4 linked regions of the Oryza sativa Japonica Group genome follow. Each later gene encodes a partner of the first gene's protein in a complex. Links are inferred from orthologs where the notes say so. Each region holds a gene or a part of one and is shown in the gene's direction. Other genes may lie near its edges.

Region 1 (4,335 bases):
CTAGAATTGAAGCAAAATTTGATTGATCAACTATTATCTCGTAGGACGCCAGATGAAGTTATTGCAGCCAAAGGTGTGAAGCCAACATTATCACCTAATCTCAATACGCTTGCGTTGGTTGAGGTAAATCTATCTCTTGTGCACACTATGCATCCTTTTTTTGGGTCACTAGCTCCTGTGTCTTGTCCCCTGCCCTTCAAAACCTATACAGGCATATGGGTGATTACGGCAGATATCTTTTGCCTTGGACATGAACTTGGAGTCATTTTTTCCAGAGCATTTTTACCTCATCCCCTTTCTAGGCAATTCGAATTTAGTTTGGTTTCAAAGGAATCAGAACTAATGTTGTTCTATTCAACCTACAAGATCAAATTTTACTTAATGTCATTCCAGTAGTGACTCTAAAGGCAAAACAAAGTCCAATTTAGGCTATTAGATTCTACAATCAAGACCATAATGATATGATGACAATATGACATGATAGTTGGTCCATACTCTATCTTCCTGACTAACTCTGTCAAAACCTCAGTTTCATGCTATCCTTTGACAGGCAGCTGGTGTGAAGCGTCTTCTCTTCTGTGGTGTGGGTTGTCAAGTGCAAGGTGTTTACCTTGCCCAAACATTCTTCTATTTCTAGTGGTGACAATGTGTTGTATCTCATAATTATCCAATGTGGCAACAGCTTTGAGATCAGTTGAGAAGTATCTTGGTTTGGAAAAGCTTTATGTGCTCGGGACAAACTGTGGTAACTACTAACTGATAACTGAATTAGTTGATCTTGAAATTTGTAATTACTGTGTTGCACGGAGGATATATTTGAACGTTGGCTTACAGTAAATATTCACAGTGGACAATGGTACCCGTGAAGGACTTGACAAGTTTTTGAAGGCTGCAAGCAGTGAACCAGAGACTGTACTGCATTATGAATTTATGCAGGACTACAAGGTAAAACTTTGGAATAATTAGTACTCTATTTTCTCTTATTTTTGACATACTGTTTAGAAGTCAACAGTTCAACAGGCAGTTTTAGGACATAGAGAAAAACTTATTGAATCAACAATATAACCATGTTGTTGCTTCCAAAATTTTGATTCATGACTGTTGTATAACTCAGCGTATTTGCAGGTTCACTTAAAGCACTTGGATGGACATATTGAAGAGGCAAAGCTTATTTTTCTTTTTTCTTTTCTTGTGCATCACTGATTCTTTTAAAATAATCATTTACATCACTGATTCTTCTAAAATAATCATTTACATCACTGATTCTTCTAAAATAATCATTTACTACCTTAAATCAGGTTCCCTATTTTTGCCTGCCAGCAAAGGACCTTGTTGATGTTATTGCCCCATCATGCTACAGGTAATATTTGCCCGTCATATAATTGTGTTGCCAGATTTTCTCCAGAATTTCCAGTCATCATTCACAACGAGCTTATGTTCTTACTACTACCATCCTGCAGCTGCTTTGACTACACAAATGGCTTGGCTGTAAGGTTTCCATCGTTTTAAAGTTGAATATTTGTACTCTTGCTATAGCAGATATTCATATTTTGGAAAGGAACCATCTGGTATCTGGCTGTATTATTCCTTCTGCTCATTGTCACTTCCTAGTACTTAGTTGTGCTCGTAGGGTTGGTGTTTATTTTCGTTGGTCTGATCAAATCTGAATGGCCATTATATGTCCCTTCTATACAGTTGCCCTTCCATTCTCGGTTTGCTCCCAGAGATAATTAATATACGTTTGATAAAGAAGTGCAGGATTTAGTGGTGGGCTATATGGGTGTACCAAAGTACCCTGGAGTTTCCATGACACAGCACCCTCAATACATTACAGTCAGGTAGAGTGATGGGGATGCTGGAGCATGGCAATTGATTGTAGCCAGTTTCTGTTGAGCAGCGAATTGATTTTTTTTTCGATCATAATGGTATTATGGCATTCCTTTAGGAATGATCGTGGAAGGGAGATGCTCAGCCTAGTAGAGGGCCTCCTGGAGAGTACACCTACAGTTAGCAGTGTATGCGTCGATTCACGAACTATCAGAGACTTCTTTTTTTCAATGTAACTTAGATGAAGACTATGCTAGTACATATATCTGAACATGAAGATTAATTGTGCCTTTCTCTTTAATTTTCAGGGCGTCAGGCAACCATTTGTTATCGAGACGGTTAAAGCTGATGATGAAGCAAAACAGGGTATGAAGTGAGCTATTAGATGTTTATTCCCGGGTTTTCTACATTTATGAGATTGAATTCTATACTAAGATACTCCTAAACAGTCACCTAAGCTTGAAAATTTTGCAGGGAGAGGACCTTCTCAGCCAGCTCCGACATTTGTCGGCAATGTTATAGCCTTCCTACTGAATCTGGTTAGTATTGCTCGACCATATTTCGCATACATAAGATGGATCGAACACATGTATATAGTAAAAATACTTCTTTTGGTTTGATTATTCAGATTGGGCCGAAGGGGCTAGAGTTTGCTCGCTACTCTCTGGATTATCACACGATAAGGAATTACCTCCATGTGAATCGGGCATGGGGCAAGCAAAGGTATATATATATTCTTGATTTTGTAGGTTTAATCTTGATGTGAATATACAATTAACCTGAGATGGTTTACTCAACTGGTTGTTGACATGAACACAGAGCGGAGCAGCACATTCCTTCCTATGCCAAGAAGATTGTGGAGGCGTACGACAAGGACGGACGCATCGAGTCGATGCTCCAGTAGCATGGGACGCTAGTCTGCATTCTAGATTATTATTATTTTTCCTCATATCGACTTGTTCATTCTAGTCAGTATATCCCGTAGTTATGTACATTCCTGAGCACACAGCCAGGGTTTAGGGGAATTTCCTCTTTACTAATTTTTTACATGTCTTATCTGACTGTCTTCCTGGGAGAATCTCCCGATAAAACAGTCGGGGGCTAGGGGAACTATACATATTACGTGTACATTGATCAAATATGAAATTTCTTGTATAGAATTGGAAAATGGTAAGTATTCTTGACCAGCCTTGCCTGACATGCTATATATAGTTCAAAAAATTAAAAATTATACTAGTCAGATGGGGTAATAGACAACAGATAACCTTATTCTAATGAGAGGAGAAAGTAAGGTTTTGACAAGACTAGCAGTTTTTACACACATTCATTTAAATATGTTTACATATTCATTTAAATCAGTTGCATACATTGATAATCGGCCTATTAAGTTGCTCGAGGTGATAAGAAATGGGTGCAATATATAGTTGTTTTTAGCACTAATAGATGATGAGCTTAATCCATGGTGTTTCCTCGGAGTCTCGGAGATGAGAGGGGTTGATATTCTGGTGCTTCTACTTTTTACTGGAGCTACATGGAAGGTTGATGACTAATTGACTATGCACTTTCAATTAGAGCTGTTATCCAGATGGACACGGTAGATCGCGCGCGCTAGCGACATGGACACGGCTAGATCGCGCGCTAGCGGCATATCGCTAACCAGCGACGCCCTTCTCTTTCAAAAACATTACTAGTACACTCAACAATACATGTCTTTTTTTTTTCTTCCTAGAGAATTTTCTCCTAAATTACTTATCCGATCTATAATCCGATTACATTGTTATGATCGTTGCAATTAAATCTTTACAACAAGATCTTACACGATTATATTCTGATAAAAAAATATCTATGTTGTAAATTACTTTTATTATATATGTAAGTTACTTTTGTCCTATACATAAATTACTTTTAGATTTAAGCTCTTTAATAACTTATATATTTTAAATCACGTATTATTTTCATGATCTATTTACATCATTGTAATCTACATAAAATATGAGACAAAACAAGATCCATGTTGAATATATTCAAACATTTCATTAATTTAAAAGTAATTTATTTAAATTGTAGTAGTAACTTAGCTATGCAATAGATGTAACTTAACTATGCAATAGAAGTAAGTTAGCACAAAATAGAAGTAAGTTGTTACAACATTATAAGTAAATTCGAGAGAAAAATATTTTGTATCTAAAAATTAAATTTAAAGTCCATAAATTATAGAATTGACTAAAAACTATAATAAACATAATCGACTTAAAACATTATGAATATATAAAAAGTAATTTATATATATGATAAAAGTAACTTAAGTATATGATAAAAGTAACTTAACTATATAATAAAAAGTAATTTACAAGTATAAATATTTTTTCATCGTAGTATAATCATGTAAGATCTAGTTTTGAAGATTTAATTGCAACGAACACAATGGTGTAATCGGATTATAGATCGGATAAGTAATTTAAGAGAAAACTTTGTAAGGGGAAAAAAAATACATGCATGTGTAATAGA
Region 2 (5,510 bases), on another chromosome or scaffold:
CCGGTTCGTCGCCGGCGTGGACGGGCCCTGCGCCTTCCTCGACGTCCTCACGCCGCCCTACTCGGAGGGCCGCCTCCGCCGGTGCACCTTCTACCGTGATTACCCCTTCCAACTCCACCGCAGTAAGCAAGCACAGCTGCAGAAATTTGTGCCATTTCTTGGCTTGATCGATCGGCGTTAATTGTTGATTTGTGCGTATACATGCAGATCACAGGTTCGCCCGCAACTTGAGCGCCCAGGAGAAGAGCCAGTTTGCATGGCTGCGACCGATCAACGCCAGCGCGCCGCCGGACCTTCGGATCGTCCCCTTGACGTACAGTGGCCCGCCGGTCGTCTAGGCCGGCCGGCTCGCCGGCGGGCTGGCCGGCCGCCGCCGGCCGCCGATCGAATGAACGGTGGCCACCGCGCGCGCGCTAGCTCGATCGTGTGTCGCTTACTGTTGACGAACGAATAAATTGGTGTGATATGATCGATGGTTTGCGACGATGATTATTAGTATTGGAGCGAGTACTCGATCCGCTTGTTATCTTAGCAGTACTTTGCGTTGCAGCAACTTGCTCTCTTCGTGTGCAGCAATAATAAACAATAATGACCATCCCCAGATGTTTTAATTACTTTGAGTGTCCTTAGTGTAATTTGTTGGTGTGAATTTCTCAATCCTGTGTGATGTGGTGCTCATGCGTATGAAGTGATTGTCAGGTTGTGTATGCAAAGAGTTTACTGAGGCTGAGGACGAACTTATGCAGATCAAGACAGAATATTATGCTCTGCAAATGCAGTGCACAAGGATACTACAATTAATTTGGTTGGGAGTATATGCGATGTACAGCCAGCATGTGCAAACCAGCAAGCAACGCTCACCGCGAGAGTGGCATGGTGACAGCGACGAACTGATCGAGACTTAATAGTATCACTAGTGCAGAAGCAACGGCAACATATCGATCGTAGTACTACTAATTACTACCAGGACACGTGTAATCACTACCCCAGATGCAACAAGAGAAGGGTGGCGTTTCTTCCCAGTAGCCACATTTTCCCTTTGTCTAACTTATGAATCAAGTATGCACTAACACTACAGTCCATAAATCCCAAGTGTTCCTTACCTGTAAAACTGAAACACCCTGCTCAAAGCCAAGCAACTAACTGAGTTTCTAAGCAGCATAAAAACCGAAGCAAGCAATTAACCCATAATTAATTAATTATTAATTATTATAAATTTGATAAGTTGGTCCATTTGAATCCTTTAGAAAACTTCTATATTTTTTTTTAAAAAAACACTTTTTAACAGTTTGAGAAATGTTCTAACGAAAAACGAGAAAAGTTGAAGTTTAGAGTTAGAGTCTAGAACAAAGCATAATCATCTTACTTTCATCCCCTTCTCATCATGTGTTTCTCATAGGTGTGTAACTATATAGGATCCAATACATTCTTCCCAATTTATAATTATATATGGTTTAGCCCATGTTTTATTCTCAATTCACTCATCCAGTCAATTCCTAATTATATGGTTTAGTCCGTTGCATGTTACTATAAGAAAGGAAAAGAAACTATTATAAAAGGAACTATTGTAAAGCTTCGACTCCAGGTATTCCTAGTCTCCTGGTAGCTGTGGAAGGAACGAAACTCCAGGGTTTTCGACTCTGCGCTCGCTTCGGTCGCAGTGGTTCTGGAGTCCATCCGCTCGGAGGGCCAGCTGTGGTCTTTAGTCGGCGTTGCTTTTTTTGGGGATTTATTGGGAGTGTAGCGTGGCTTTGCCCCCTCCCGCTGTTTGGAATTACGTTTTTAACCGTCGTAGTAGTTCCTAGCTTCAAGTCCCCCCTTTAGGCATAAGCCAATCTGGCTGATTGCTTTGTGTAACAAAAACTCTTTTCCTACTAATATATTGACGTGCAATTCTTTTGCGCGTTCGAAAAAAAAAACTATTGTAAAGCACATGCATATAATAGTTAAAAAAACCTTGCAAAATAGTACTAGTACATACTACTAGTAGTTTAAAAGAGAGAGAGAGAGAAAGGATGATTGCTCACACTGACTTGTGGGCCACCTCCACCTCTTAACATCCGTACTTAACTCGCAGGCCCCCTCCCTTCTAAAATCCTCGCTCGTTAATCGTTATCCAGACTCCGCGACGGCGAGCCGGCAAGGCGAGCACCGCAGTTGACGACGCCTCTCCACTCCGCTCCCCTCCCCTCCCCTCCCCTCGTCTCGCTACCGCCGCAATGGCGGCCACCGCCGCCTACCTCCCGCTCCGTGCCCAGGCGCAGGTGGGCCTGGCTCCGCTCCGGCCGTCGGGCTCGGCCGCTGCTGGGGCGCGGTTGCCCGGCCGGACGGCGCGGCGCCGGCTTGCGGCGAGAGGCGGGCCGGAGGCTGCCGGTATCCGCGCGGAGGCTGTCCCTGGTGGTGGAGGGGTCGCGCGGAGGGCGGCCATGGTGCCCCCGTATAATGTTCTAATCACCGGTTCCACGAAAGGTGTTGTTGAGTTCTCCCCCCCTCGTCGTCGTGTTGCTTCGCATGCTTGATCTTGCTTACAAGAAAGAAGTAGGATGTCTGTGGATGCTTTTTGTTGGGATGCAATTTAGTAGGAGCATATAGGAACTGGTGGTGATCGATATTTCTGAAATTCTGAATGCTTGTGTTGGAAATAATTCAGATGGTCAGGGTGTGGTGTGGTGGCGATGTTGTTTTTTCGTGCCTTATGTAGCCGAGAAGAGAGCAACACCAATTTGGAAGTAGGGGTGGAAGTGGGTAGTGCCGCTACCAGCATAAGAACCTGCTTAATTAGTTCATTTCCTACTTTCTAGTACACAATTTAGAAGACAAAATGAACTAGAACATCAGTGCATTCGGCATTGACCTTTTAATCAAACAATGCAAATCAGCTTGAAACTGTGTGGAGCAATTGCTTTGATACTGTATTGTGGTAAAAAAATATTTAAATCCTGACATATTAGATCTTTTGGTCAATGGTGGTAGAGGTATATCTCCTAAACGCTTCCTTTGTGGAAGCTTGTTTCAAAAACCTTTGTAGTACAACTCAATGACCCTTGTTTGCTCTTAAACAGGTATAGGATATGCTCTGGCAAAGGAATTTTTGAAGGCTGGCGATAATGTTGTAATCTGCTCAAGATCAGGTACAGAAATGATTTTGTGCTTTCAATAGGTAGCGCTAGTTTTAGTAATTATTTTTGAGTGATGACATAAATAAAATTGGATAAATTATCGAGCCTAAGATGCATTGCAAATTGATTTGCATGGTCAAGTCTCGTTTACCTGTTTCTTTATTTTCCTCTCTTCTCATTTGGATGATCCATTGACCTAACACTAAAATATGCACTATCCAGCTTTTGTCATTTGATGCTCATTATCGCTCATTAGGTGCTCTATATAGGGGTCATCTGCTTGATATGACTGACCTGTTAAATTGATCTTTCATGAAATTTTAAAATGAATAAACAAATGGATTGCTAGGATTTTCTTGAGCCCACTTTTAGTGAGAGAATGAAAAAAAAAAAAGCAAACAAGTTACAGTTTAGCCTTTCCTTGACATGCAGTCTATCCTCTACAGCTGAAAGGGTAGAATCTGCGGTGACTGACTTGAAAAAGGAATTTGGAGAGCAACATGTGTGGGTACCTACTTCCTACTGCTGAGCTACTTGATACTTTTACTGCCATTGGAGTCTCCACTTATAATTATGTTTGTTGAAAATTTTACAGTGCAATAATACTTATGCAACTGAACTGCTTCTATTTGTATTATTGCAGGGAATTGTCTGTGATGTTAGGGAAGGAAAGGATGTAAAGGCACTAGTTGATTTTGCACGTGACAAGATGAAGTATATTGATATTTGGGTACATAATCACCCCATCATCATCAAATATCTGCACATGAACTTACTCATGTTTATATTCTTTTCATATGTACAAATATGAAAATCACTGGCTATAAAGTTATGCTGATTCTCACTACATACTCATGAGTGTTCGAAATTTCTCAGCTACCCTTTTTGAATATTTAAACTTCAGTAATTTAATTGAAGCACTCAGTTATGTAGTGTTGAATCTTTTTGGGTAAAATCTAGAACCATAAGAAGGCAGGATTTTCTCCTTATCTTTGTGTTCCTTTGGCACAGATCAACAATGCTGGATCAAATGCATATAGTTACAAACCGTTGGTCGAGACCTCCGACGAGGCTCTCATGTAATTTTCATGCTGTCTTTTTATTTATGGCTTGACCAAATACATTCAATTGTGCTTTCAAGCTATATTCAAACTCCACTCTTTCTTTGATTTAATAGGGAAGTGATCACAACTAACACTCTTGGATTAATGATATGTTGTCGTGAGGTATTTCTTTCAACTCATACTAGCTTTCTGAATTTCATTACAACAACTGTGAAGATTCATTTTCCAAATATTCATCTTCTTGCCATCTTGCCATCTTAGGCAATAAATATGATGAGAAACCAACCTCGAGGTGGCCACATATTTAACATCGATGGTGCTGGTTCTGATGGAAGGCCAACCCCAAGGTATGCATTTCCATTTGTTCTGTTCTGTAGTAAAATGTAGACACTCAATGTGCAATTCAATCATTATATCATTATGTTTGAATTCTCATACAGTATGAAGCTATGAAATTTCACATCATGTATTATGTCCTTTTAGTTTATTGCTAATTGCTAATAGGAGAGTACCTATGATTCCACATAACTGTGCCTCATAAGTTTCTGTGCTGAATTTGGCTTCCATATAGACATATACTGTACTGTTATCAGTAGTTTCAACCAAATGAAAAAATTACACCACTGCGGTGGCCCCCGCGCGCGCGCGTTGGGGGGTTGGGGGTATCAAGCGATATTAAATATAATTATATTTTGGTAACTAGTGCTTTTGTGGTTACACCAGGATACTACTTAATAACTTAATATCCTTTCAGAAATAGACACTGATTATTATTGATAATGACTAGGTTTGCTGCATATGGTGCAACGAAGAGAAGTGTGGTGCACCTTACAAAATCTCTGCAGGTAAAGGTTATGTGAGGATATAACCTCATATCATTTTGTTTTGATCAGAACATATCCAGTGTAGCATTTATTCATAGTCCACTATTTGTGGCATTGTAACTTCATATAAATTGTTAACTGCATTGTGACATCACAACTATGATGCAATATTGATTACCACCATTTCTCAGTATCCAGAACAATAAAGCTGTGATTATCAAATAGTTACTCAATACTCATTAATAATTTGAAAAAAAAAACATAAAGCTGTAATCATCCATATAATCCTTGGACTTGAGTCTTGAGGTTCAGACCCTTCCCTTCTTAAATGGAACGATTTTTCTGGAGAACTCGCAATGTAGGTTTTCATTTCCTCTTTTTTTTGTCCTTCTGGAATTCTTGTTTATTAGAATTTGCAGGAAGAAAATAATTTGATTCTAATTGCAGGCCGAGTTGCAGATGAATGAAGTGAACAATGTTATGGTGCACAATTTGTCGGTACA
Region 3 (5,212 bases), on another chromosome or scaffold:
GTTTGGCATGTTCTAATATCTTCTTATTATTAGGCCCCACTAGAGACAAAACGCTACCTTGATAAATGATTACTTGGATCCATATCACTACGAATATGTAATTTTAGATAAAAATTAGTACTATTCACAATATCGGCTATGACGTGTCATTCGGATTTAGGGAAATCGGAACCGTGTCACTCTATCGCTATATCCATCAAAACTTTTCGTTAGCATCAATTGCACGTGGGACCTAGCTGTCAATTCCAGGTTTTTCTCCTCCCTTCACTCTCCTCTCTTTCCCCTACCCCCTATCTCTCTCTCTCTCCGGCGCTCATCGTCACCGCCACCGTCGTCGACCACCTCCGCGGCGGGAAAGTTCGGGAGCTGCCACCGCCATCTTCTTTGACTCCATCCACGGCAGGAGAGCTTGGGAACCACCGCCGTTGTCAATCTTCTCCCATCCGTGGCGGGAGGGCTCAGGAGATGCCAACGCTGTCGTCTTCAACCCCATCCACGGTGGGAGGGCTTGGGAGCCACTGTCGTCATCGACCTTATCCCATCCGCAGTGGGAGGGCTCGGTCGCCGCCGTCGATGTCCCTTGTAGCAGTCGTAGAAGATGGAGGAAGAGATAGGGAATAAAGAAGAGGGAGGATGGAGAAAGATGGAACTGATATGTGGGTCTAACGCCTAGGGGTCTGACGGGAAATGCAACGGTGATAGTGTAGTTCTAACTCCTCAAATTTCAGTGGCACGTAACCAATATCATGAATAGTAGTGGCATTTATCCGAAATGGCATATTTATAGTTGGCGTGGATCCTATTAACCTTTTAAACGTTTAGTGATAAGTATTCGCAGAAACTAAAAAGTGATCAAAATAAATGAAAAGGGAGTTGTGAACTCTCTAGTTCTCATATATAAATAAAAAACGAATTCATTCAGTGATTTAGAGACAATGACAAATCATTTGTTGGTTGCGGATCATCTCACTCAACCACACTTCAGTGATTGAACATGGGTCGGGGCCCCTATTTGACAAGGGAACTGAACCCATTTCATTGACCTTCGAACCGCTCTTGCCCTCCCCTTTCACTTCCATAGTGGTCTTCTTTGGCCGGCCCACTCATTTCACTCTCAAGCTCTCTGAGAAGATTCAAGATGTTTCGAATTCTCCTTCAGTAATATGGCCCCCACAATAATTAGAGGGGGGAAAAAGGAAAATGAAGAGCTAGTGGACTGAGGAAGAAAGCTAGTGTGCAGCATCTGGCCTTTTGTGAGCTTTGGGCCTTGGCCCATGGAGCGATAAGCAGCAACAGCAGTGAGTGATCAGCAGTAGCAGATGGCCTCAAGTGTATTAAGGTTTAGGTGGTGTGTTTAATCTCCTGAAGATAAATATAAAGATGAAGATTAAGTGTTTCACGCAAAACGATGTAGTAATAATATATGATTAATTAAGTTTTAATTATTACAAACTTGAAAAATGGATTAATATGATATTTTAGAACAACTTTCATATAAAAAGTTTTCCCACGAAACGTATCGTTTAGCAGTTTGAAAAACGTGTCACGAGTATCCAAAAGTTTATCCAACTTTTATTGGAGAAAAGAATAGGGCATAAGTATCACCTCGGTTCCCAAGCTTATGCGCTACATGGTGAGCTGCCCAGTCATTAGCATGGTACTTCCTCCGTTTTATATTATAAGATTTTCTAACATTACCCACATTCATATATATGTTAATAAATCTAGATATATATGTGTCTAGATTCATTAACATTTATATGAATATAGGGAATGCTAGAAAGTCTTATAACCTGAAACGGAGGAAGTATAAAAGAAAAAAACCAACTCATGTGGTGTTTGCGAAGGAGGGACTAAACTAGTCATTTTTGTGATTCCCAAATACCACCTCAATTGGCATTATCTCACATTTCAGTAATGCAGTGTCCGTAAAAAAAACAAGGCATTTGCAAATTGCAATAGATAATGTCTTGGAATCTGATGGATTTGTAACAGCAGCTTTCAGATCTCTCTTTCAATCATCTCCTATGTATATACTGCACTAGTTACAAAAGTAAAAGAGGGATAGTTCTACACGTTCACGGAATCCTTCTCACTCCCTCTCGCTCACATTCATCTCTCGCTCCGTTCGTCCACGCGTCGAACACCTCGCCGTGATCCAATGCTCCAACTCCGCTCGCCGCCGCCGGCGACCAGCTCGCCGTCCTCCGCCGTCTCCTTCCCGACCCTCGCTCCTCGCCTCCTCCCCCTCCGCCGCCGCCGCCGCGGCGCGGGTTCCCAGCTCGGGGGCAAAACGTCGAGCGCCGTGCGCGCGTCGTCGGCGGCGGCGCCGGGCGCGACGGAGCCGGAGGTGATGGTGGAGGTGGCGCACCGGGAGGTGGCGCGGGCGCTCGCGTCCCTGGCGGAGGCGCGGCTGGGCGCGCGGCTGCTCCCCTCCGCCGTGCCGCCCGACGTCGCCGAGTTCCGCAGCGGCGGCGGCGCCGGGAACGCCGTGGGCTCGCTCGACGTGCGCCGCGGCGCGCCGGGATCGACGGTAATGGCACCCCTCCTCTCACTTTTGCTCGTCAGATCGTACAGATTTACCTGTTCTGTCGATTGGAGAACATCAGAATCAGTCATATGAATTAGTGAAATGGTAGTGGTAAACTGGTAATGTCTAGAGCACCATCAGAATCAGTCATATGAATTAAGTAGTGAATCATATGAATTAACTAATTAAGTAGTGAAATGGTAGTGGTAAACTGGTAAAAACAGGCTGGCACAAACAGAGCAGAATAGATCAATGGCATGTCAAAAGACTTGGACAATTTACTGAAACTGTTTTACACTGAAAAATTGCTGCCGAACTATTTGTGATTTGCCCTATCAAGGTGAACTTGCAAACTTTTAGAAGCCAAGATCCATAATCCAACTCTTCGGAGCAAATTATGACTTTTCATTATATTGGCAATGCTCAAATTAGTTCATTTGCTTCCAATATCGAAATGGAAACAATTGGTCTGTTCTAGAGTTTGTACCTCATTCGTGATTCTTCCTATCACTCACAGATTTTGTTTCCTCTCCAAAAACAAAAAAACAAAATCACTCCAACTGAACGGACACAATTGGAGTGGCCAAAATGATCAACAGCATTCAAATTATGAAACTAATCTCACCACTTGAACACCTGAATTATGCTCCCTAGTGCTCAGTAGCTTAGCGTGGTAGAATTTCTTGAGTTCTGCAAGGAATGACAAATGGAGTTAAATTATTAATTTTTCTTGTCTACAGATTGATTTCATGCTCCAGTCCTCACTACACTGCAAAGTCCCAAATGGCGCAATCGACATTACATCTCTTCTCATCTTTCTGAACGCCTCGACAGATGCTCCGCATTTCCTCATGGAATTTATACAAGGTAGCCCAACTTCGATCGTGGTGCTTCTGGACCTTCTCCCACGGAAAGACCTTGCGCTCCATCCCGAATACATAGAGAGATACTATGAGAATACTCAGGTGGACAAACAGCGTGAGAAGGTCGAAGAATTGCCGCAGGCCCGTCCATACCGATCGCGATCCCTCTTCGTGCGCAGCACCTTCTCACTGACAGCAATACTGATGAGCATCGACTGTGGGCAAGGAGGAGAGGGTACCTTGGAAGAGATAGTGCGTGGTCAACTAGCAACAGCTGCTAGGGCACTTCTTCAAATTTGGCTTGATAGTTGTGCTGATCATACTTCAGAGATGGAAGAAGGCGAGAGAGAAAACATGATAAAGAGGGACCAAATTGTAAGGTCCAAGTCAATCGAGGTCGACCTGACTTCAAATTTGCCGAGGATGTTTGGTCCCGATGTCGCAGACCGAGTCATAGCTGAAATCCAGAAGGCCTTTGGGGTACAAGAGGCCTAGCTTTAGAACTGTGACCAGGAATTCATCTGTACATCATTCGAAAGTAATGTTAGTAGTCTTTTGTCCCTTTTGCTTGAACAATCAGATATATTGTGTGATTATAAATTTATAATTGCAAATACCATCAGATGTCATAATTTTGTCTATACAATTATACAAACCAATGTAGTGTTGGTTTTCATGCCGATTTTTTACTCTAGCCGTTTCAACCCAAATCTCGGCCTCCTCTAGAGATACATCGATGCCCTCATTAAAAGAAAGTGCCCAAAAAGATAATATAATTTATAAGTACCAGTAAACTGATTTCACGGGTGGTTTCCTCAATTTCTTAAAGAGAAAGGACAGTCAATTATTTTATTTTACAAATGTATTACTAGTTAATGGATAACTTTACATACCGTGTTTACATATTCTCATCCCATTAAAAATTTGCGATGAATCTAACTGCCTAATTTCATAGATCAACGCACCAGTTTATGACAAAATTGAAATGCTATCAATCAGAAATTCACTAACTACCAGCCATACTAATCCTGGCTCCCTACAGCTACTCGCAGCTCTAGAAGCACACATGGCACAAAACATAAACTCCAAGTTTTTTGGAGAGTTGTTTTTGCCTTCTCTTTTCGGTTGAAATACACAATTATTGTATCAAGAATGGAGAGTTCGAACGGCAAAGCCAAAAGGAAAAAATGTAAACAGAAAACAGCATCTTTTTTTTGACAACAGGCATATATTACCCGGCTTTAGAAAAAGCCCAAACGAAACAGAGTTCTTACAGAAAAACGAAACAAAAGGAAACAAAAAACTGGGGATTCCAGTTTTCCAAACCAGCTCAACAAAAGCTTGGACATCCACTAAACCTAGCCCCCTTCCAGACATTTTAACACCCACAACAAAAGACCAAATATTTTCAGAGCCCATTCCCATGAACTATCCTATATCATCAGGAAGATTATCAGTCGGCTTCAGCACTTCCAACGTCAGCATTATCTTTGCTTGAAAGACATCCAAGCTAGTACACTCCTTTTCTTTTAGCAGCACCTTCCACCTTTGCATCAAAGACAAAGACCTGTACACGACCTGCAAAGGTGATTTGATCAGTTTATTGTTAAAAACCCAATTATTTCTGGTAATCCACAAACCCCAGGTCATTCCTGCAAAAACCACCATTCCCCCCTGAAACCCCATTTTCTTGGTTACAACCTTGATACAATCCCAGAAAGAGATAGGTACATTATGCAAATTTAGAACTATAGCAATTACACTCCAAGCAAATTTAGCAATGGGACAAGTAAATAAAACATGTGTAGTGCTTTCTTCC
Region 4 (5,359 bases), on another chromosome or scaffold:
ACATGTTAATATAAACATGACTTCTCATTGCATCAATTGTGAGCTGATTTCTTATTAGTATCCATGTTCTGCAATCAACATTGAAGTTATAGTTTGATTTTGGCAGCACAAGAGGATTAGGGAAAGCACTTGCTCGGGAGTTCCTTCTTTCTGGAGATCGTGTTGTAATTGCTTCACGCAGGTGGTACTCATAGACATGTAGCTCAATGTGTGTTGTTGTTGCATATCCATGATATTCTTTTTATGAAATGCAATGCGTTGTCCTAGTTTTAAATATCCTATTTTTTGAAGGCAGCCCTGAATCAGTCCTTCAGACCATCAACGAGCTTGAAGAGAACATACAGGAGGGCTTGTCAGTTGCGAAAAAGAAACAGAGAGAAATTTTGCTACATGCCAAGGTTGTTGGTACATCATGTGATGTTTGTAAACCAGAAGATGTGAAAAAGTTGGTGAACTTTGCCAAGGATGAGCTTGGATCAATTGATATTTGGGTAAATAATTTACTTTTACATATCTATCCCCATCATTTATTCTGCATTATTTCACGGTAGGGTACTCAGTTGGATACTTGGATTGAGTGCACAAGTTTTTGTACTTATAACCTTTTTATTTTGTTCTGTACTGTGGCATCGCAGAATGTACTTAACATGTGCTATTCTTCTTATTCTTATGTATAGATAAATAACGCTGGCACAAACAAAGGTTTTAGGCCACTGGTAAACTTTTCAGATGAAGATATTTCTCAGGTACGTTAATTATCTTCGGAAAATCAGAGTCTTTTCCATTCTAATAGAGTTCATAGAACTATATTCGTCATGCAACCTGACTTAGTTATTTCATCTTATTTTTCTTTCTGCTTAGCCTAAACAACATTATTGTGTCCTTTTCTGTTTGCAGATTGTCTCAACAAACCTAGTTGGCTCTTTACTGTGCACCAGAGAAGCCATGAATGTCATGCAACACCAACAAAAGGGAGGTCACGTATTTAACATGGATGGAGCAGGTTCTGGAGGATCAAGTACACCATTAACAGCTGTGTAAGTACCTAATGATTTCAAATTTTTAATGCTCCACTGTTCGTGTAGCTCTTATACTGGACAGGGATATTGTCTTGTGGTTTCTTCATTGGCTAAAAACGAGTATAATTGTATTGATGTTGTTACTTGTGCAGTGAAACTAAAACTGATACTATTTTGCAAACTTGCAGTTATGGTTCAACTAAGTGTGGCCTTAGACAGTTTCAAGCATCACTTCTGAAGGAAAGCAGAAGATCAAAAGTTGGTGTACACACTGCTTCTCCTGGAATGGTCCTTACGGACCTCCTTTTGAGGTAACCTCTGAAGTTATTTAGATGCAATTATTGATGATTTGCTTGTTTAGTTCATTCTGAACTTCAATATATTTATTGCTTGGTGCACATGTTGTCCAAACTCCAAACCACACTTTGTGTGATGATAGTAAAACAAGATAAGACTTCAAGTGCATAAGAAGTTTTCAGTAGGATCTTTATGGAACCACACATATTGGTTAATCAGAATTTCACGCTATCTTCATTTTGAATTTATTTTAGTTAATCAACAATCAGAATGTCTCCTTTGTTGAATGGGGAAGAGTCAAAATTTTGAGATACCTCGCTGCCCAAATCTTCTTTGTTTCAATCTCTTCTTTCTAGGATTTGATTTGTGGCAACTATTTCTGTAGAATCAGCTTCACATTAATTATTAAGTTGCTTTTGCTACTACACTTCTAGCTCTGGCTTTTCCTATCTGCTATAATCCCGATGACACGGTAAACTGGGTGCGTGGCGGTTAATCAGAACCTGAAAGAATTAATGTTCCATTCTTGTGCAAATACTCTGCCTTGTAAATCCAGTTCAAAGTTGTGATGTTGCACATACTTTATACTTGTAAGGCTTCATAGTTTCTGTCAATATATAAATAACTTGTGAGATAACTTCCAGATATAATTATTACAAATGACTAATGCACTGGAAAGTTCTAACATATTAATATTTTTTATTGGTAATACTATATACGGAGAATAATATGTTTTTTAACTTCAATTGATGGTGCATGCCACTTCTTCCATATTTATCTGGTCAGCTCTTCTGTTGCCACATGCCCAACTATGCAGACTGCTTTAGTTAACTTATAATCCTTCTATCTTTTGCAGCGGTTCTTCTCTGAGAAATAAACAGATGTTCAATTTAATATGTGAGCTTCCAGAAACAGTTGCAAGGACATTGGTTCCGAGGATGCGAGTTGTGAAAGGAAGTGGAAAGGCGATAAACTACTTGACACCACCAAGGATCTTGCTTGCCTTGGTTACTGCATGGGTTCGCCGAGGCCGATGGTTTGATGAAGAGGTATGTTTCTTCTCTATGCAGCTAGTACTTTTCAGCTTTACCTTTTATTTCAGCAATGCCAGTATATGAAATATGCTGAATTCCTGCAGAAGCCATGCGTGCAAACATGATTGTTGTTTTCATTATTATGCATCTTGCATGCACTTTTCATGATATTGAACCTCAAGACTTTTGAGCTATTATGCTTCTGAAATAGTGAAATATACATTTCTAGAGAAAGAGTACCAAGCTCTTCTACCGTTGCACCAAATGTATATGAAACTCATTGTTGAATATAAAGAACAATGGACATAGACTATTCAAATTATGCCTGTGGTGATTTTCTTGTAAATTATGCTAAATAAGCAGTATTCGTTCTAAGACTGGATCAACCAGGCGAGTCAGATCATAATGAAGCTTGAGACCAGTGTCCAGTTCTGTCAGGTCTCTACATAAGTAAGAGCCATAAATAGGGTCTGTCTTGATGGTTCAGTTTCCAGGTTCATTATGACCAGCTCAGTCCATCACCTTTACTGCTAGTTGGCCAGAGCTCTTCTGGAAGGCCTTAGGCTGGTCCTCCCCTCAATGGCGGCTTCAAACACCTGGTTCCACCATGGCTTAGCTCGGTCCAACAGTCTCAGTGCTATTGTTTGTACTGCATGTTAAATATGACATAGTTAATTCTCACATGTATTGCTGGATCTCACCTAGTCCACATGAAATCCAGCAACAGATTTAACTGGAGAGAATGATAGGGGTTTTAAAAAGCAACTGCACCCGTCAAATGATTGCACTCTAGTAATATTTTGGGGCTGAAATGGGCACAAGTATACATATTGACGTTTTTTTTGGTATCTCACTGGTTTATTGGCTGTGATTTTGGGAAAGAAAATCACCTGCAAATTTTGGTACCGTCGAAGCTTCTCACCATTAGATTGACAATTATTAATGGAAAAACTGAATGAACACATGTATTATTTTCGCAAGATATTTAGGAAACATGACATTTGAGAAAAAAAAATGCTGAGAAGTGGGTAATAATTTAATTATAACGTTTGTGTTCCTTCAGAATCTTTCACAATATAACTGAAGAAAAGTGCTGTATACATCAGTGTCTTTTGTGATGGACAATGCTCCAATCATCCTATGTGCAAGGTTGAAAATCAAACAGATGAAGTAAAAGAATATTATATTCTTACAAATGAGAGATCAGCATACCAAGCGACTTTATGCATACTTCACAGTTCATAATACTTTCAGTCTGATGATTAATTCATGTGAATGTGTGACTGATCATAAGCACATTGCAGGGAAGAGCAGTATATGCAGCAGAGGCTGATAGAATCCGTAATTGGGCTGAAAGTCGAGCACGCTTCTCTTTCACAGATGCCATGGAGATGTACACAGAAAACACATGGGTTTCTGTGTTCTCGCTCTCTGTCGTCTGCGCATTCATAATTCTTTCCAGCTCAGGTGGACCTCTTCCAGGCACATGATCCCAGGAGTTGCCAAACTAGATGGCTACACACACCATTTTTCTTCAGTACGGGGATTCTATTATGTACTGATATATGACACACGAAACTTATGAAGGGGGGAAATTGAACCCAGAAAGCTTACTGCGTACATACGCCCAACGGTGAGAAGCATCAGCTGCCACTCACCATTTAAGGTCAAGCTAACCATGTGCTCAGTAAAAATGGGTAAATAGCATTTGTTGTGTGGGCATTCCACTGTTTGTAAGCTGACTTGTAAAAACGTGTATCTGAGCTAAACTGAGCACGAACAGATTCGATGGACAATGTTATCTGCTGTACATGCATGTAGTAATGTAGTTTTGATGACTGTAATTCTCTGGTCGTCGCTTCCAGTTGCACGGTTGCACCGTATGTTGCAACCACCAATAGAACTGAAAGTAAGTGAGAGTAATCAAGCCAGCATCTGCTATGTATATATATGACTCATCAGTCTGTTATATATCACAAGGAAAGCTTCTTCAAAGCTAAAAGCAAAGCTATCAGTAAGACAGTAATCCTGTGTTTTTGTCCATTTGAATTCTTGATCACAACAGGGGAGATTCAGAAGTTGCATTAAGGTATACTACTACTATCATTTATGCAGTTTGTTGCACCTGCAGCCTTGCAGAGTGATGATTCTTCTTGATGGGGAAGCAGGACGTTCACTTCACCTCGTACAAACAATGTACGGATTTCTGTGTGCGAGCCATTGTGAGCAAGGGGCTTTCTTTTCTTCCAAAAGTAAAATACAGGCTAGTGCTTTTTTCATGAAAAATATCTGATGGTGAGTGGAGAGTGCACACGCTGATGAGCAGCCGAGCCGGAGCATGCGTTGGCAACTTTTCTGAACTACAAGCTGGAGACGACGTGAGGCTTCTTTCCGAGAGTTGATAGCAGCGTGCACTTCCGAAGTTGGGTGTCGATTTCTCCCTTTTTTTCTGCTGAGCAATGGCACCTTCCATTAGTTGGAGGGTGGAAGCTTCCTTCTTGAGTCCGAGGCCCCAATGTCACCAATCCTGTCTCTTCTGCATTGTTCGTTGGGAGTATAAGACAATTTAGGGGCGGAGCTAAAACGAAATAGAGAGATGTACCATTCACTTGCTTTACTCTACTTTAAATCAAGTTTAAGCTAATATGAGTATTTGAGTTTGGATTAAGGAGGTACATATATAGTAAAAATAGAAAAACTATAGCTAAAAAAATTTTCTTGGCCAGGTTTCTGGGCACCCCTCTCTCCTACCTAGCTCTGCCCCTAAGTGCATTGCCCGTTCTTCTCTACTAGTCAAGTTTTAGGTTGAACTTTTTTTTTAGGGGATAGTTTTAGGTTGAACTGATCTATCCATATATGCCCTTTAATTTTCCATCAGCTTAAGCACTGGGGTTAAAATAAAATATGCATGCAAACTTTGCCTTACTAACACGCATTTACTTGCAATTGCTTAGCTGATTGAAATCTCACTAAATCTGCTGCTACTTTGATTGGATTAACCAACTACAG

The links.
Region 2: 7-hydroxymethyl chlorophyll a reductase, chloroplastic-like (region 1) and chlorophyll(ide) b reductase NOL, chloroplastic share a complex: the UniProt entries of both Arabidopsis thaliana proteins name them as parts of the SGR1-CCE-LHCII complex. The link is inferred for Oryza sativa Japonica Group from reciprocal best matches to the Arabidopsis thaliana genes HCAR and NOL.
Region 3: 7-hydroxymethyl chlorophyll a reductase, chloroplastic-like (region 1) and red chlorophyll catabolite reductase 1, chloroplastic share a complex: the UniProt entries of both Arabidopsis thaliana proteins name them as parts of the SGR1-CCE-LHCII complex. The link is inferred for Oryza sativa Japonica Group from reciprocal best matches to the Arabidopsis thaliana genes HCAR and ACD2.
Region 4: 7-hydroxymethyl chlorophyll a reductase, chloroplastic-like (region 1) and probable chlorophyll(ide) b reductase NYC1, chloroplastic share a complex: the UniProt entries of both Arabidopsis thaliana proteins name them as parts of the SGR1-CCE-LHCII complex. The link is inferred for Oryza sativa Japonica Group from reciprocal best matches to the Arabidopsis thaliana genes HCAR and NYC1.

The regions. Positions count from the first base shown.
Region 1 is NC_089038.1:14,947,599-14,951,933, forward strand, and holds the end of 7-hydroxymethyl chlorophyll a reductase, chloroplastic-like, read left to right. Parts: intron 1-44; coding exon 45-123; intron 124-550; coding exon 551-602; intron 603-682; coding exon 683-745; intron 746-847; coding exon 848-945; intron 946-1,125; coding exon 1,126-1,161; intron 1,162-1,298; coding exon 1,299-1,360; intron 1,361-1,460; coding exon 1,461-1,488; intron 1,489-1,758; coding exon 1,759-1,838; intron 1,839-1,945; coding exon 1,946-2,015; intron 2,016-2,135; coding exon 2,136-2,193; intron 2,194-2,301; coding exon 2,302-2,366; intron 2,367-2,455; coding exon 2,456-2,550; intron 2,551-2,646; coding exon 2,647-2,731; 3' UTR 2,732-3,014; downstream 3,015-4,335. UniProt on the Arabidopsis thaliana protein: Probable iron-sulfur flavoprotein that converts 7-hydroxymethyl chlorophyll a to chlorophyll a using ferredoxin as a reducing equivalent. Catalyzes the reduction of a hydroxymethyl group to a methyl group. Belongs to the chlorophyll catabolic enzymes (CCEs).
Region 2 is NC_089037.1:26,388,383-26,393,892, reverse strand, and holds the start of chlorophyll(ide) b reductase NOL, chloroplastic, read left to right. Parts: upstream 1-2,097; 5' UTR 2,098-2,219; coding exon 2,220-2,469; intron 2,470-3,062; coding exon 3,063-3,131; intron 3,132-3,565; coding exon 3,566-3,627; intron 3,628-3,762; coding exon 3,763-3,849; intron 3,850-4,130; coding exon 4,131-4,198; intron 4,199-4,296; coding exon 4,297-4,345; intron 4,346-4,444; coding exon 4,445-4,530; intron 4,531-4,970; coding exon 4,971-5,028; intron 5,029-5,454; coding exon 5,455-5,505; intron 5,506-5,510. Other genes in the region: plant cysteine oxidase 3, read left to right, coding at 1-122, 208-338. UniProt on the Arabidopsis thaliana protein: Required for chlorophyll b degradation. Chlorophyll b, chlorophyllide b, pheophorbide b and pheophytin b can be used as substrates. Belongs to the chlorophyll catabolic enzymes (CCEs).
Region 3 is NC_089044.1:13,536,623-13,541,834, reverse strand, and holds red chlorophyll catabolite reductase 1, chloroplastic, read left to right. Parts: upstream 1-2,061; 5' UTR 2,062-2,161; coding exon 2,162-2,533; intron 2,534-3,270; coding exon 3,271-3,888; 3' UTR 3,889-4,033; downstream 4,034-5,212. UniProt on the Arabidopsis thaliana protein: Catalyzes the key reaction of chlorophyll catabolism, porphyrin macrocycle cleavage of pheophorbide a (pheide a) to a primary fluorescent catabolite (pFCC).
Region 4 is NC_089035.1:7,036,789-7,042,147, forward strand, and holds the end of probable chlorophyll(ide) b reductase NYC1, chloroplastic, read left to right. Parts: intron 1-106; coding exon 107-181; intron 182-295; coding exon 296-491; intron 492-677; coding exon 678-746; intron 747-897; coding exon 898-1,037; intron 1,038-1,207; coding exon 1,208-1,330; intron 1,331-2,172; coding exon 2,173-2,365; intron 2,366-3,654; coding exon 3,655-3,840; 3' UTR 3,841-4,393; downstream 4,394-5,359. UniProt on the Arabidopsis thaliana protein: Involved in chlorophyll b degradation. Belongs to the chlorophyll catabolic enzymes (CCEs).